Linked DNA regions of Mus musculus: region 1 is reported to be linked to region 2. Evidence: microRNA targets listed by miRTarBase, many of them from high-throughput screens and not tested one by one. Region 2 holds a microRNA gene; the other region holds the end of a gene's coding sequence.
The links. Region 2 holds the annotated microRNA mmu-miR-3094-5p (UGUUGGGGACAUUUUUAAAGC, at 4,792-4,812, opposite strand). A microRNA usually pairs through its seed, bases 2 to 8, with sites in the 3' UTR of a target mRNA and lowers its output. Matches are read on the target gene's strand: a 7mer-m8 pairs with bases 2 to 8, a 7mer-A1 pairs with bases 2 to 7 and ends in A, and an 8mer does both.

Region 1 (7,121 bases), not on the chromosome of region 2:
GATGAAAATGTTTATTTAGTGTGAGAGCTATGTTTCTGCTAAACTAGATAAATATACTTTATGTAATCAATGCAGGTCTATTTCTGTACCTTATTCTGGTTATGTCTGCTGATCTATACTGCCTTATTTTAACTAACATAATTACACATTCAGTATATAATCTGTTATGTTTATTTTTCAATATTTTCCTGGTATCTTTGTTCACTTATACATCTGAAGTGTAAAATCAGTTTCATGAGTTAAAGTGAAAGTGTCCTAGGGTGTATGTGGTTACTCACACCTGTAATCCCAACACCTGGGCAATGAAGATAAGGCCTAGAAAGGGAAGGAGGGAGGCAGCAAGAGCTTTGTGGGGCCTCGAATGGCAGAGGATGCAAACGAAGATGATGGAGGCAACCATTAAACACAAGCTGATGGCCTTGGATAGTGCAAAGCTTAGAATGGCACAGGAGAAGAACTGCTACTTGAGAAAAGGCTTCCTGGAAGCCACTGACCAAGGGCCAAAGATCATTCCCGACTGTTTGTCTCTGATCTAGTCACACCAACCAACCTGGCTGCTGTAAATGTCTGGGAGGCAACACTGGTCTGGGATGCCTTTTGGCCACTTTTAGAGGGGAACTGTTGTGGCTGCTTAGAAGAGGCCTCTGACTTTCTCAGGAGGGAAGCAGACACCTACCTGAGATCCCTGGAAGAGCAGAGCAGAACTGGAGCGATGAGCAAAGCCCCAGTGATCTGCACTTTTTGTCTTTGGCCCTCAGTATCAGCTGCCTTGTTGGTTTTTGATGCAGAGCCTTGCTGTGCAGTTCTGGTGGCCTCCACAGCTTGACAGACGTATCAACGTCAAACACATGGTGCTTTTGCTTGATTTTATAACAGCCACATGCTAATGTGTGGGTGCCTGAATATTGAATACTGTTTATATCAGTATATCATATCTTTCTATAGTCATATCCTCATTTGTGTTATTTAATATGAAGTTCTATTTGTGCAAGTTACACTAAAGTCTAATTTGTGGGTATCTCGCTTTGAATTATAACATCCTATTTGCTGACATTTTATGACTATATGCTATTTATCTGGGAATCTCTCTAAGGCACTGTGTGGCCTGTCTCAGTATGATACCAGATAAAAGTCAAATTACTAGTCTATTAATACTCAAAAGCAAATAAAGAGTTTAAAAAGCTCTGTTATGTAGCACCTAAAATTTTTATATTGAGAGAATTTCTTTTTTGTCAGAATTTCATTTTTCCCCCCACAAAGCGAGTGTTATATTGCAATTTGAGGCCCAAATGACATCACCTTTCTCTCTTAATTTTCTAAATAACTGTATCACCATTACAGCTGTTGATAAGGGACAGGATTACAGCTCTGAGCAACAGCTTTCTTAAGGTGGAGTTGGTCATCCATTGGCACCCCTGTTAGCTACTCTTTGGGGCCTTGTCTTAGTTAGGGTTTTACTGATGTGAACAGACACCATGACCAAGTCAAGTCTTATAAAAAACAACATTTAATTGGGGCTGGCTTACAGGTTCACAGGTTCAAAGGTTCAGTCCATTATCATCAAGGTGGGAGCATGGCAGCATCCAGGCTGTCATGGCGCAGGCAGACCTGAGAGTTCTACATCTTCATCCAAAGGCTGCTAGTGGGAGATTGACTTCCAGGCAACTAGGGTGAGGATCTTATACCCACACCCACAGTGACACACCCATTCCAACCAGGTCACACCTATTCCAACAAGGCCACACCTCCAGATGGTGCCACTCCCTGGTCCAAGGATAGACAAACCATCATAGGCCTACTTTCAAAACTTTGCATCGGAGGATGAAGACAGCAGAACAAATCCTTCTAGAAGAAAAGATCCCATGTTCCTTCATTTACTCTTTGACCCAGGAAGGAATAGAGAGGCAGCGCAGGGCTATAGCTGTGCTTCTAAGTGGATGGAAAGAACCAGAGGTGGGGAAGAAACGTCGCTGCTTCAGTGGTCAGCAATGCTCACCCAACGCAGGGTAACTTTAGGGATCTAAACTTCATAGACACAGTTCTTGGAAAATGATGTCAAAGGTTATGCTTTCCTCTTTGGAACATGATTCTCTTCAGGTCTTATTCATGTCAGATCACAAAAGATCCAACCATCCTTGACCATGTACGTACAAGATTAAAAATGTTACTGGGTTGGCAAAGGGGTTCCATAGACAGTCCCCTAAACATCACAGGCTATTGTCAAGGCTATTGGCTATTGATCAGAACTGAAAGGTAAGGCCCAGTCGCTGAAGTGACCTTTCTTATGTCATCAAACAGAGAAAGAAAGCTGGTGTGTGGGGCAAGTGAGAGGTGTGACTTGGGGAACAGGCCTGGGACAACGGTGAGGTTGAGACATGTCCAAACTCCCAAAACTCATCTTGAGACTGGCAGGAGTAAGGATTGCTTCTTTCCTCTTCGGGGCCTGCAACTCCCTCGTCCACCACCGAGGTAGCCATGCAGCCTGATAGCCGAATTACAGGAGTAATGTGCTCTCTGCCTACAAGGACATGTTCATCAAGCACCTGGAATTCCTCTTCATGCAAATGAAGCGTTCCCAGCACCGCAGCACCAGTTAATAATTTACATCCCAACCTGCTACCCACTCCCCAAGGTTTATATAGCCCTTATTAACCCCCTAATAAAGAAGCGGTAACACTGAAAACTCTCAGAGAAGGCTTCTTCCTCCACAAAAACAACCCCCCCACCATCGCCCCCCCCACCCCCGGCATTCAAGACAAGCGTGTTCCTGCAAACCCACCCGGCCTGGATAAGCCTGGACAAACCTGCTTATGCTTTCATGCCAGGCAGCTGAGCTACAGTGCCTGAACACACGGAAGGCAGAAGCAGAACTGGCCTGCGCTGGTGCCCAGCCAGAAGTCTCATCCCTGCTGACTACTGTCCACAGTGCTGGAAGGTACTTTGCATGTTGGAGGAGTAAAGTGGTCACTGGCATCACCTGGCTACAAACCCTACAACTTACAAACACGGTTTCAACAGTGGTGCAAGCGTTACGATTGGATTGAAGACTTTGTTAAGATGGAAGATATGCTTGGCACTGCTCAAGTGGCAAGATACCTGGGACTAAATTGGTCATAGGGCTAAGGGGAAAACCTACTAGAATCTTGCCAATGGTACAGAGCAATGAAATGACTCCTAACGACACACTGCTATACGCATAGATCAGAGTATTGTCCACCCCTCATCAGAGATGCTGCTTTGTCGTAATTAATTCAGAAACCCATAACTGAGCAATGGGCAGAGCTGGAGACCTCGGCGCACAGCCCTCAGTGGAACGTCTCCATTACCCCCTGCCCTCAAGACTTACGGATCTACGTGGAAGAGGAGGTGGGAAGATGGTGAGAGTGGTGGATGACACCAAAGAGAGAAGACCGACGGGCATGCGAACTACAGAGACTGTGGCAGCACGCACAAGACCCGCAAAGGTTAAAAGCAGACAAAATCCCAGCACTGAGAAGAGAAAGTAGGAAGAAAGCCCTACCTGCTACTAAAAAGCTATCTATAATTGGTATTTTCTGGGAAAGGGGCAATGAGTTTAATGAGTTTTCTCCAGAGGAGCGCTACTGGGCATGTCGACAATTCTAGTGGCAAGTACCATGAAAGGGGCAGTTGGCCTACACAAAATACTCTTGTGTTTTTTGTGTGTGACTTTTGGTACCTTTTTTGACCTTTTTTTTTCCTCTTTCCTTTTTTGTTTTTGAGAGATAGACCATGGAGTAGGAAGGGGGGATCTGGGAGGAATTATACAAAATACATTGTATGTAAAAATTTTTAAATAAAAGTTAAATCTTAGGGAGTTGAAAAGATGGCAGAGCAGTTAAGAGTACTGGCTCCAAGTCCAGGGGATTGGACACCTTCTCTGGCTTCCATGGACACTAAAGCCATGTGGTACACACATATACATGCAACACACTAAAATAATAAAAAATTAAAAATGTTAGTAGATGCTTATTTTATTTAGTAATTTAAAAAGTTTTATCCAACCCAGGTTTAAAAAATGATGACTCACATCAGAGTCCACTGCAGTTACAGTAACCCATCAACAATAAAAAACCAAAACCAAAACAGCTAAAACTCAATTAAGTCCATGCACTGACACGAAGAAGAATTAGTTCTATAGTTTGACCTGAAACCCTTAAAGCTTCCAAATACAGGATTTAATTTCATTTTGCACATAGACTAATTTATTCCTAGAAATGTCTAGTTATAGAACTCTTTAACAAGACATTTTCAGAGCTTAAAAACAATTTTACAGTTCTGAGTTTGGAAGAACACAAATCTTTTGATTATCAGGATGGAAGGCTATCAGTTGGTTTTATTTCCACAATACAAACAAGCTTTCATAGTATTGGATTTTTGTCAATTTCCTCAGTGCCAAGAGAATTCGCCAGAGGAAAACATGAGCACGGTAGGAAGAGTACGCACCGCAGGGCAAGGGTAAGGCATCCTGGAGAACTGGCCGCTTCGAGGTAGGTCACTCTGATCCTGGCTACTCCCCTCTCCAGGCCCACGTGCAGGCGAGGGTTGAAAACGGGCTGTGAAGACAAAAGCTACTGTGCTCGCCAGGAGTGATGGATATTTATTTTTTCTTTACATATCATCTTACCCTTTAAAGAAATTAAGCAGTTATAAAGTAATTACTGAACAAAAGTGCAGGGAACAGGCAAGCAGAAATTAGCTTCTAGGATAAAGACGGTCCCATTCACGCCTGGTGGGGTGGGAACTCAGGGTAAATAGTAGTGGCTGCAGCCACTCTCTGGCTAAGGGCAAACTTGGCTCATTAAATATATGAAGCATCATCTTCAATGCACGGCGCAGAAAACATTCTCTTCTCTATGCAGTGACAGGTCTTTCCAATAAAAACTTTATGTTTATATGTTTACATGTGGGTATGTACACGCATGCGTGTGTAGTTTTGGAGGCCACAAGAGAACACTGGAGTTGTGAGGTTGTGGGCTGCCATATGGGTACTAGGAACTGAACTCCAGCCTTCTGCAAGAGCAGCAAGTGCCCTTATCTGCTTAGCAACTTTCTAACCACTCGACTGATTGACTGACTGCCAAGAAAATGACACCTAGTGCTTAAATGCTTAATGCCAACTGAGGACTATAATGACCACCAAGGCAAAACTCCCAAAAGGCGTTTCCACTGTAAGCAGCTGGGCAGTGGTGGTGCACGCCTGTAATCCCAGCACTTGGGAGGCAGAGGCAGGCGGATCTTTTGAGTTTGAGGTCAGACTGGGCTACAGACCGAGTTCCAGGGCTATCAGGGATACATAGAGAAACCCCGTCATCTCAGAAAATCAAAACCAACCCATCAAAAACAAACGGCCGGGCATGGTGGCGTACATCTTTAATCCCAGCATTTGGGAGGCAGAGGCAGGCAGATTTCTGAGTTCGAGGCCAGCCTGGTCTACAGAGTGAGTTCCAGGACAGCCAGGGCTACACAGAGAAACCCTGTCTCAAAAAAAAACCAAAAAACAAACAAAAACCCCAAACCAAACCAAACCAACCAACCAACCAAAAAGAAACAAACAACCCAAACAAAACCTACAACAACAACAAAATTTTGCTTAGGTGTATTCAACCAGACCCCTTGCATACAAACAAGTCTGGAGAAGATCCAGCAACCGCGTGGGCACAATTCCAACACGCTTAGCGCGGCAGACTTTCTGCAAGCACCGTCATGGACTGGCAAGGGTCTTCTGACATGCCATCTGCGAATGTTACTTTATACTTATGGTCAAGGGTGCCCTGAGAGCCGACAGTTCTCCAGACGCAGCCGTGGCTCTCCCTTTTCCCTGAGACTGCTGTGGGCCCTTATTTGCTTCTCAGGTCTCCCACACGAGGACAGAGCAGCTTGTCTTTAACAGAGTCTGGCTCTCAAAAGTGCTAAGTAAACATCAGCGAATAAATAAATAAATCTCATATCATCCAAACCCTTGTTGGGGAAAGAGAAAAAAAAAAAACCCCTCTTACAGAATCAAAGGCAGCGATGGGAAGCAAGGAAGATAACAGACAGTCTCCATCAACCGGGGTAACGGATTTGATGTGAAAACAATAAAACCAAACAAGAACCCCTGCGTCTACCCCAAGTGTTGTATGTGGTTGGTCACTGATACTTGCGTGGAGATTTCTGATTCCAACTGAGAGTTAACAAGAAAGTGCACTCTGGAAGCCCAGAAACAAAAGCCGGGTCTGTCACTGCGCCAAACTGCACAGCAGCCTAGCACGGTCTCAGCTCAGAGGGGACTCTTCTGAGTACACCAGGTGAGTGTCCAGGGTCCCGTAGAGTGAGTGCAGCACATCGAGGACCTTTCCCTGAATCATGTCAACTTGTTCCGGAGGACAGTAATCATCCAGACTTGACCTGGAACCAAGCGGAAAGGGGGCAGAGCAGAGTGAGAACAAAGTCGCCCGTGTGGAGGCACAGCCAGTGCACTGCTGCCAGCGAGGGCCACAGGCGACTGTGGAGTCACGGCTGAGAGCAGGGAGATGCTTACCCCACTTTTGGTGCTTTACAGGAATTGTCCTTTATTGTTTTCTAAAATGATATTCTATAGGACAGGTATAATACTAAGGATTGGTATTTGATATCGAGATGGGACATTGCTAAGCAGACCCCAAGGCCTCAGACTGGTTGTGTAGACCAGGAAGGTCCCACAGTTCCTGTGACCTTCCTGCCTTTGCCTCTAAGTGCCTATCTTAAGCATGGCTACCACAGCTGAACTCAGGCCTGTATTGTTGGGTGGCAAGCACTTTACCCTCAGCCACCTCCCCAGATCACCTTCAGCAAGCTCACCATCTCCACATAGGTGAGAAAGGGCTGTATTTCAGGGTAAGGCCATTTTTTTTTTCTTAAAGCTTTATTTTTATGTGTTTGTATTGTATGTGTGAATGTGCAGCCATGTGTGCCGGTGTCCACAGAGTCTAGGACAGAACACTGGATACCCTAAGATTGGAGTTGGAGTGGTGAGCTATCCAATGTTGGGTGCTAGGAACAGAACTCAGGTCCTCTCCAAGAGCTGCCAATGTTCTCCATTGCTCAGCCATCTTTTCTGTGTGTGTGTGTGTGTGTGTGCG
Region 2 (7,121 bases):
GCCTTGAAAAACAAAACAAAGAAAAATCCACGTGGCTAAATGATGGGCAGTGGTATCAATTTTCTGAAGAGAATTTTTAACTTGTCAAAAGGGTTTACAGAACTTATACCAATTAGAAAGAGTTGCATAATTTCAATTTACAAAGCTTTTGAAGAATACACTCACTGCATGGGTTGTGAGCGTGAGGACAGCGTGAATGAAAGCAAGAAAGCAGAGACGGGACTGCTGGAGAGAAATACAAGCACACAGCAGTTATCTGTATAGCTTGTTTCTTACCCTACTTGCAACTCTTGTTCAAAAGTCCCTAAGAGCACCTGTGGGCCTTACAAAATTGGTGATCATTGACTGGTTTTTTTCTGGGGGTGTTCCTTATACGATAAGCACATGCTTTATCACTAAGCTACACCCTCAGCTCCTTCAGCCATTGCTCCAGCCACGTACACTGTGGCTTTTAGTATAAATATCCCGTAAGCTTCACACAATGGCCATCAAAGTAATCACTATACTATGCTTCCTTTTTTTTTCTTTTATTCTGAAGCTTATCCATTAAACTATTACATCTTCCAAATAACCTAGGAATCAGTTGTTGTTCAGACCTTAACTACTTTAACAAAAAGAATCAACTGTTAAGGTCTGTCTTCATCCTAGCCTATGTTCTTTAGAGGAAGTCCTGCCATGAACTGAAATGACCTCCTGGTAGAACAACAGGACAGATCATTACTTAGAAGACTCCCTCCCAAGACAGCCATAGAAGACGTCATGCCTCTTCTGGTTAGAAACAGAAATGGGCACTAAAGCCCAACTTCAGAGCGACAGTCAGATGCCCAATCACTATCTAGGGCTGAAATTAGAATCTGAACCTGAATCCTGGCCTCTGCACTTGTCTCTCAAAAGGGACTGTTTAGTTGAGTAACACTGTTATTCTATGGCTTGTGTCAACAGGGTAGTCTTAAGCATATGACATAGAAGCAGGCTGGCCACACTGGACAGTTTTAGGCTTGAGGCTTTGGTCACACAGTAGCTACCAAAGTCTGGAGAGACTGACATTGGCTTTGTAGGCCATACCAGGATGACAATATACATTCTAAACACACAGGCTTTTGTGAACCTTCCTGGCTGGAATATTCTCTCTATATTATCACACACAGACCCGAGAAGGTCATAGAGGAAGGACAAATGGAGCATTTGCTCTTTTCTTGGATCTTTCCTACATGTTTTTTCAATCGACTAATTCTAATCTCTGTCCTTTCCTGCAATCACAACTGTGATAGTTTTCAGTGAATTCAGGCTACCAAATTATCACGTTGTAAGTGGTCCTGGGCCCACTGGCCTTCAGCTCAGATGAGGATTAAGTGGTCATGTTGGCCATATTAGTAGTTGCCTAAACTCTCAATTGAGGAGTTTTGTAGGCTGTGCCCAGTTCCCATGTGGCTAAATCACAGTAGTGCTGTTTCTTTCTTCACATGTATACTTGGGGTGAGCAACCCTCCAGATGCTCCACTGGGGGAACTCAGTGAGTCATACACTGGAGTAAAGCTGGATTATTTTGGTTCCTCCTCTCTCACAATCACCATGTTAAACAGTTCTAGCCTTACCTTTGTTCTGAAGGAGCATCTGCAGGAAATGACTGATGTGCGAGAGCACGGCCCACAGTCTCCTTCATGGCAAAGCTTTTCACAGGTGTGGATGAAATCTGTAATAAAAAGGGACAGAGTGGGGAGTGACAACTGCACTGACTGATCCTGGTATTTCCAAATTCACTACCAACGCTGTGTCCTCATCCTCAGCTTCCCTCCACCCAGCAGGCTGGGCACTAGCATGTTGCCTGCTGAGGGAAAGCACAGACTTCCCGGCCTTTGCTTTAGGTCCCACATCTTTACATTACATTCAGATCTCCCTAAAATTTAATTGTGATGACTTTGATGAAATGCTCTAGGCTCTGAAAGTTATCTGGGGATCGCAGACAATTCTGAAGGCACAATCCATAGTTCCATCAATTGGGGCTGCTCTCTACGCAGCCACGAACAGCCTGCATTCACCTGATAACTAGATTTAGGACAAATACTTTTTTTGTTTCCCTTTCTTGAGACAGGGTATTATTATGTAGTCCAAGATGGCCTCAAAGTCATAATCTTCTCGCCTCTTGGCCTGCATGCTGGGATTACATGTATGTACCACTATCCCAGGCCCAGGACAAGTCGTCTTTCAGAGGCTCATGAAAGGACAACCGTAGTTGTTTTCATGTTTGCAGCACTGAAAGCCAAGCTCAGGGAACTGTGCATGCTAAGCAACTGCTCTACTGAGGAGTTACACTGCCAGTCCACATCAGTGTCGCGCTTATATTAATTTTACTAGTATACATTTATCCTATCTATCAAGCCAGGTAGAATGGCACACACCTTTAGTCCCGGCACCCAGGGAAGCAGAAGCAGGCAGATCTCTGAGTATGAAGTTGGAGAGAGTGAGCTCTAGGACAGTCAAGAGCTACATAGTGAGATCCTGACACAAGCCAAGCCAATTAATTTATACTTATTGTGTGTGATATGCACACATGTCAATGTATGTAATAGACCTAGTTGGCCTTGAACTCACAGAAACCCTGCCTGCCTCTGGTTCCTGTGTTGGGAATAAAGGTGTGTGCCACCATTTATTTTGTGTGTATGCATGCAATGTCTGAGGACAACTTGTAGGACTGAGTCAGTTCTCTCCTTTTTAACCCAGTGGGCCCCCAGGACAGAACACAAGTTATCAGGTTTGGCAGTAGCACTTTTAAACACTGAGCTATCTCAGTATTATCAATATGTTTTTAAAATCAATTGGGAAGAAAAAAAACTTTCCGTTTTTAGAGACATGGTGTCATGTAGTCCAGGCTGGTCTGAAAAATGCTAAGTAGTTAGGATAACTATGAACTGCAAAATTCTCTGCCTCTACTTTGTGGAGTGTGTGGAGTGTGTAGCTGAGGATGGAACCAGTAGCTTCACTCATGCTAGGTAAGCATCTACTAACTGAGCTACAACCTCAGCCCAGCAAGTAGCTACAAAGCTAAACCTGTGCATGTTTCAAAGACCAAGTCACACTCAAACCTCCAGGTACTGAGTAAACAGACAGGTGGTACATGTCTGTAACCCTGCCATTGAGAGGCTGAGACAAGGGGGCAGGCTTACAGAGGCCAGCCTGAGCTACATACAAGATCCTGTCTCAGAAAGAAAAACAGTATGACAGCCCTAAAACAAACAAAACTCACATTATTTTATATCTAATTTCAATGAACTTTTCTATATACAAATAACCAGAAGCCATAAAAAAGGAAGAAACAAGGCATCACTAGAGATCAGAAGGCAGCAGCACTAAAAATATTAACAAGAATAAGTAACAAGAGCCAAATTACCTTAACAAACAACAAAAAGCCTCAGAAAGCCTGTAATAAAATCCTAACTGTACACACACACACACAGCTGCAGAGCAGATAGCTTGAGAAACCTCAGTGGACCCCACATCATCACTTTAGTCAGGGTAACAGGTCCACAAGAAAGATCAATCAACAATGTAAATGAAATTATCTTCTGTTACAAGTCTTTAAAAGGTAATATGATCTGGGTATGGTAGCTCATATCTGTCATCCCAGCCCTGGAGAGGCTGCCGGTTTTACCAGGGCTGCTTAGTTAGAGCCTGCTCGAAGGAAAAGTTTAGAAAAGTATTTACCCAGACAAAATGATGCTCAGAGGCGTCATCCCCACCTATGGGGAGGGACTTAGCTCTAGAAGGCATTCTTTGAATGTTTAAGTGGCTGAACACTTAAAATTTCAGTTCTTAAATATCTCATCCAGTGTTGTTTTTGCATGTTCCTATTATAAAAAATGACATTTAAACACTCCTGGAATGCTAGATCAGTAAAAGCCTATACGGTGTTTGCACTAGACTAGGCTGTTAAGAGAACTGATGGTGCTGGCAATAAAACTGGAGACATGACTTGGGAATCTGTATTTTCACAAGTGTAGTTTGAGTAAAAGAAAAAAAAAAAGTATCTATCCAAATTTGATCATCACATTTATAAGAACCCCTGCTCTTAGGCATTTAATGTTACTTGGTGAAAACGTCATTATTCCTAAACATTTACATTTTTAAAAAAATAAAATCTTTTTCATTTTTATTTTATGAGTATGAATGGTTTGCCTTCATGTATGTTTATTACAGACAGCTGTGAGCCACCATGTTGGTGTTTAAAATTGAACCTGGATCCTCTGAAAGAGCAGCCAGTGCTCTTAATCACTGAGCTATCTCTTCATCTCCTACATATTTAAAAAATAAGTTTAGGTCAACTAGTTACCTGAGGAACCACAGGCCAAGGGTTTGCCACACACTTTTCCACAGGAAGGGACAGGATCCATGCATGTTTTCCGAGCATTACTTCCATGTTCCAGCAACTGGCTGAGAGGTGTTTGGCCGCAAGGGCAGTATCGCACCAAATGGGGGAGCCGTGGGCAAGGCTGACACGGCTGAGGGTGGCAAACCTGAGAACAGGTATGGCTCCCACACTTCAAGTCCCTATTAAGAAAAACAACAGACAATTAATTGCACAACTGTTATATAAAATGAAGCTTTATTCTAAAAGAAACTTTAATCTAAAGGTAAAAAAAGGAAACCCTTACTTGCCACATATCTTTAAACAGCTGAAGTCCCCAAATCCATCAGACTTTCCCACATCGGTTCCACACAACACATCTCGGGAGGTGCTGCCACAGTAGCACACTTGAGGACACAATTTAAAGGACAAATCAATAACCAATCCATGCTTTAAAAATGTCCCCAACAATCTATAAATGTTCATTAGTATAGACCAGACATGATGCAGACATGAATGTTGTTTATGCGGCAGCTCTCCCACCCATCTAAGAGCTTTACGTGGGAATAAAGCACGCTCTGCCCCCTCTGCCAGTGCCTTAGTGCTGCTGCAGAAGATACCCTGTAAACAATGACCTCAGGCGTCAGAGGGCCCGATCCAGTCTCAATGGTGGGCAGCAGGCACTGTGAAGCTCCCTGCATGGCACAGGGTGCCGGCAAGCTAGACTGAGATGCAGAGGGGTGGACACCTAGATCCCTTCAACTCAAGTGAAATGGATCACATGAAATGCTCCCAAAAAGGGCCCTGCTGTTGAAAGAAACTTATAATTTTTATTAAATTACATAATTTTTCTGGTATCACTTTACATTTTTTCCACAAAGGATATTTATCACAAATTAGTCTATACCTTGCCCATATGATAAATGGTGAACAAGAGTAAAAACTAGCCGGGCGTGATGGCGCACGCCTTTGATCCCAGCACTTGGAAGGCAGAGGCAGGCGGATTTCTGAGTTCGAGGCCAGCCTGGTCTACAGAGTGAGTTCCAGGACAGCCAGGGCTACACAGAGAAACACTGTCTCGGAAAAAAAAAACAAAAACAAAAACAAAAACAAAACAACAAAAAAAAAAAACCTAAACTGGAAACACTATGGAACTAATTAAATGCTAACTTCTTTTTTTAGGATAACTTAGGTTAGCTACTGGCCCAGAAAATCAACATCAGAATAAATGTAATTGAGTTCAAGAAGAGACTGGTTTAACAGCAAATTCTAGGCAAGACAGGGACGGCTAGACGGCTATATAGTGAGAATAGTTTTAAAAAAATCATATCCATAAAATAGTAAACAGAGCCAAAAACAACTTCTAGCACATGGCAAGAGGAAAACCTCAAGTGACTGAAAAATATTTTTTTTTTTACATTTTAAAAATAAACATTTTAGTGCTGGAGAGAGAGAGAGCACAATGGTTAAGAGTATTAGTTGCTCTCAAGAGGATCTAGGTTTGATTCCTCAGCCCCCATGTGGTGGCTCACAACTGCTTGTAACTCCTGTTTCATGAACCTGATGTGTCCTTGGCTTCCTTGGGCACTAAGGCATGTCTGGTACACACACTGACACACCCATACATATGAAGGCAAAACATCCATACACATTAAAAAATACATTCTGTCTTCAAAAAAAGAATATGTGCATCTTTACCCACTGTGACACTAAAACGCACATCTTACCAGGTAAGTATTTGCTGGATGAATTTATACAGAGAACAATCATTTGTTGGATGAATTCATACAGAGAACAATCAGTCCTTTGGAACCAGTGAACTGGTGGACAAACTCCAGCAGCCAGGGGCTTCTGAGAGCAGCCTGGTCTACGAGCAGCCTTTGCTCTGCTGAGCTTTGTTTCTTCCCTTTCCCATCTCTTCTATTCTGAGGCAGGGTCTGGCTGGATCATGACATACACATGCTTAACTTCACAAGTTTGCTTATAGCTATGCTGAGGTTGACAGTTGTCAAAGTGACTGTAGCAGTTTAAACACCTGTCAACATTGTATGAAGATGCTAGATGCTTCACCCTTGCCAACATCTGGATTTTAGTCTTTCATTTTCGACATCCTGGTAAGTATAAATAGATGCCTCGCTATGGACATGCTTTTGATCCCTGTTCCTTGGACTCTCCCTCTAGTGCAGGCTTCTGTGAGCAGTTCTGTTGCAATATAACTGACACACCACACAATTCCAGAAATGCCTGCGAGCAGTGCTAACAGGTGCACATACACCACTTACCCTGGTTCAGTATGATCCGACAAGGCTGGCATTGACCCCCATGGCACAGCTCAGCACAGTGGTGCTGACCACAGTTCAAGATATTCTCACATGCATTAGAACAGTGGACTGAGACAGGCTGACCACAGCGAACCGTGTGCCTATAAAGATAGACACAAATGCATCACTCCGAAGTTCCCACTACACAGACTGAAGCCCAAGCCCTTCCCTCAACACCCAGTAAACGCTTCTCTTGACATTGCTCTCCCCAACTTTTTCTAAGTGTTTCCTTCAAATTTTTAATTAATTTTGTGTAGACATGTTTGTAAACAGGTGTGCAGGTGGCCATGGAGGCCAGAGATGTCATGTCCCCAGAGTTGGAGTGACCAGCTCTTGTGAGCTGCCCAACATGGGTCCTGGGAATGGAACTCAGGTCCTTTTCAACAGTCATGCACTTTTAATCACTGAGCAATCTCACTGGCCTCTCGTACCATTTTTTTAATTTCAATATTCTCCTC

Region 1: miRTarBase lists 6030458C11Rik as a target of mmu-miR-3094-5p. Seed matches in the 3' UTR shown: 8mer at 5,982-5,989.

Annotation. Positions count from the first base shown.
Region 1 is chr15:12,804,437-12,811,557 of GRCm38, forward strand. It overlaps 6030458C11Rik (RIKEN cDNA 6030458C11 gene), which reads right to left. Exons shown (of 9, transcript NM_029998.3): 9 at 3,741-6,408. The coding sequence ends at 6,276. Among named protein-coding and RNA genes, the nearest start is that of Gm41274, 9.5 kb to the left of the region's middle.
Region 2 is chr4:40,991,387-40,998,507 of GRCm38, reverse strand. It overlaps Mir3094 (microRNA 3094), which reads right to left and starts at 4,813; the gene lies at 4,750-4,813. It overlaps Nfx1 (nuclear transcription factor, X-box binding 1), which reads right to left. Exons shown (of 24, transcript NM_023739.3): 7 at 6,625-6,764; 8 at 4,650-4,749; 9 at 4,328-4,545; 10 at 1,596-1,693.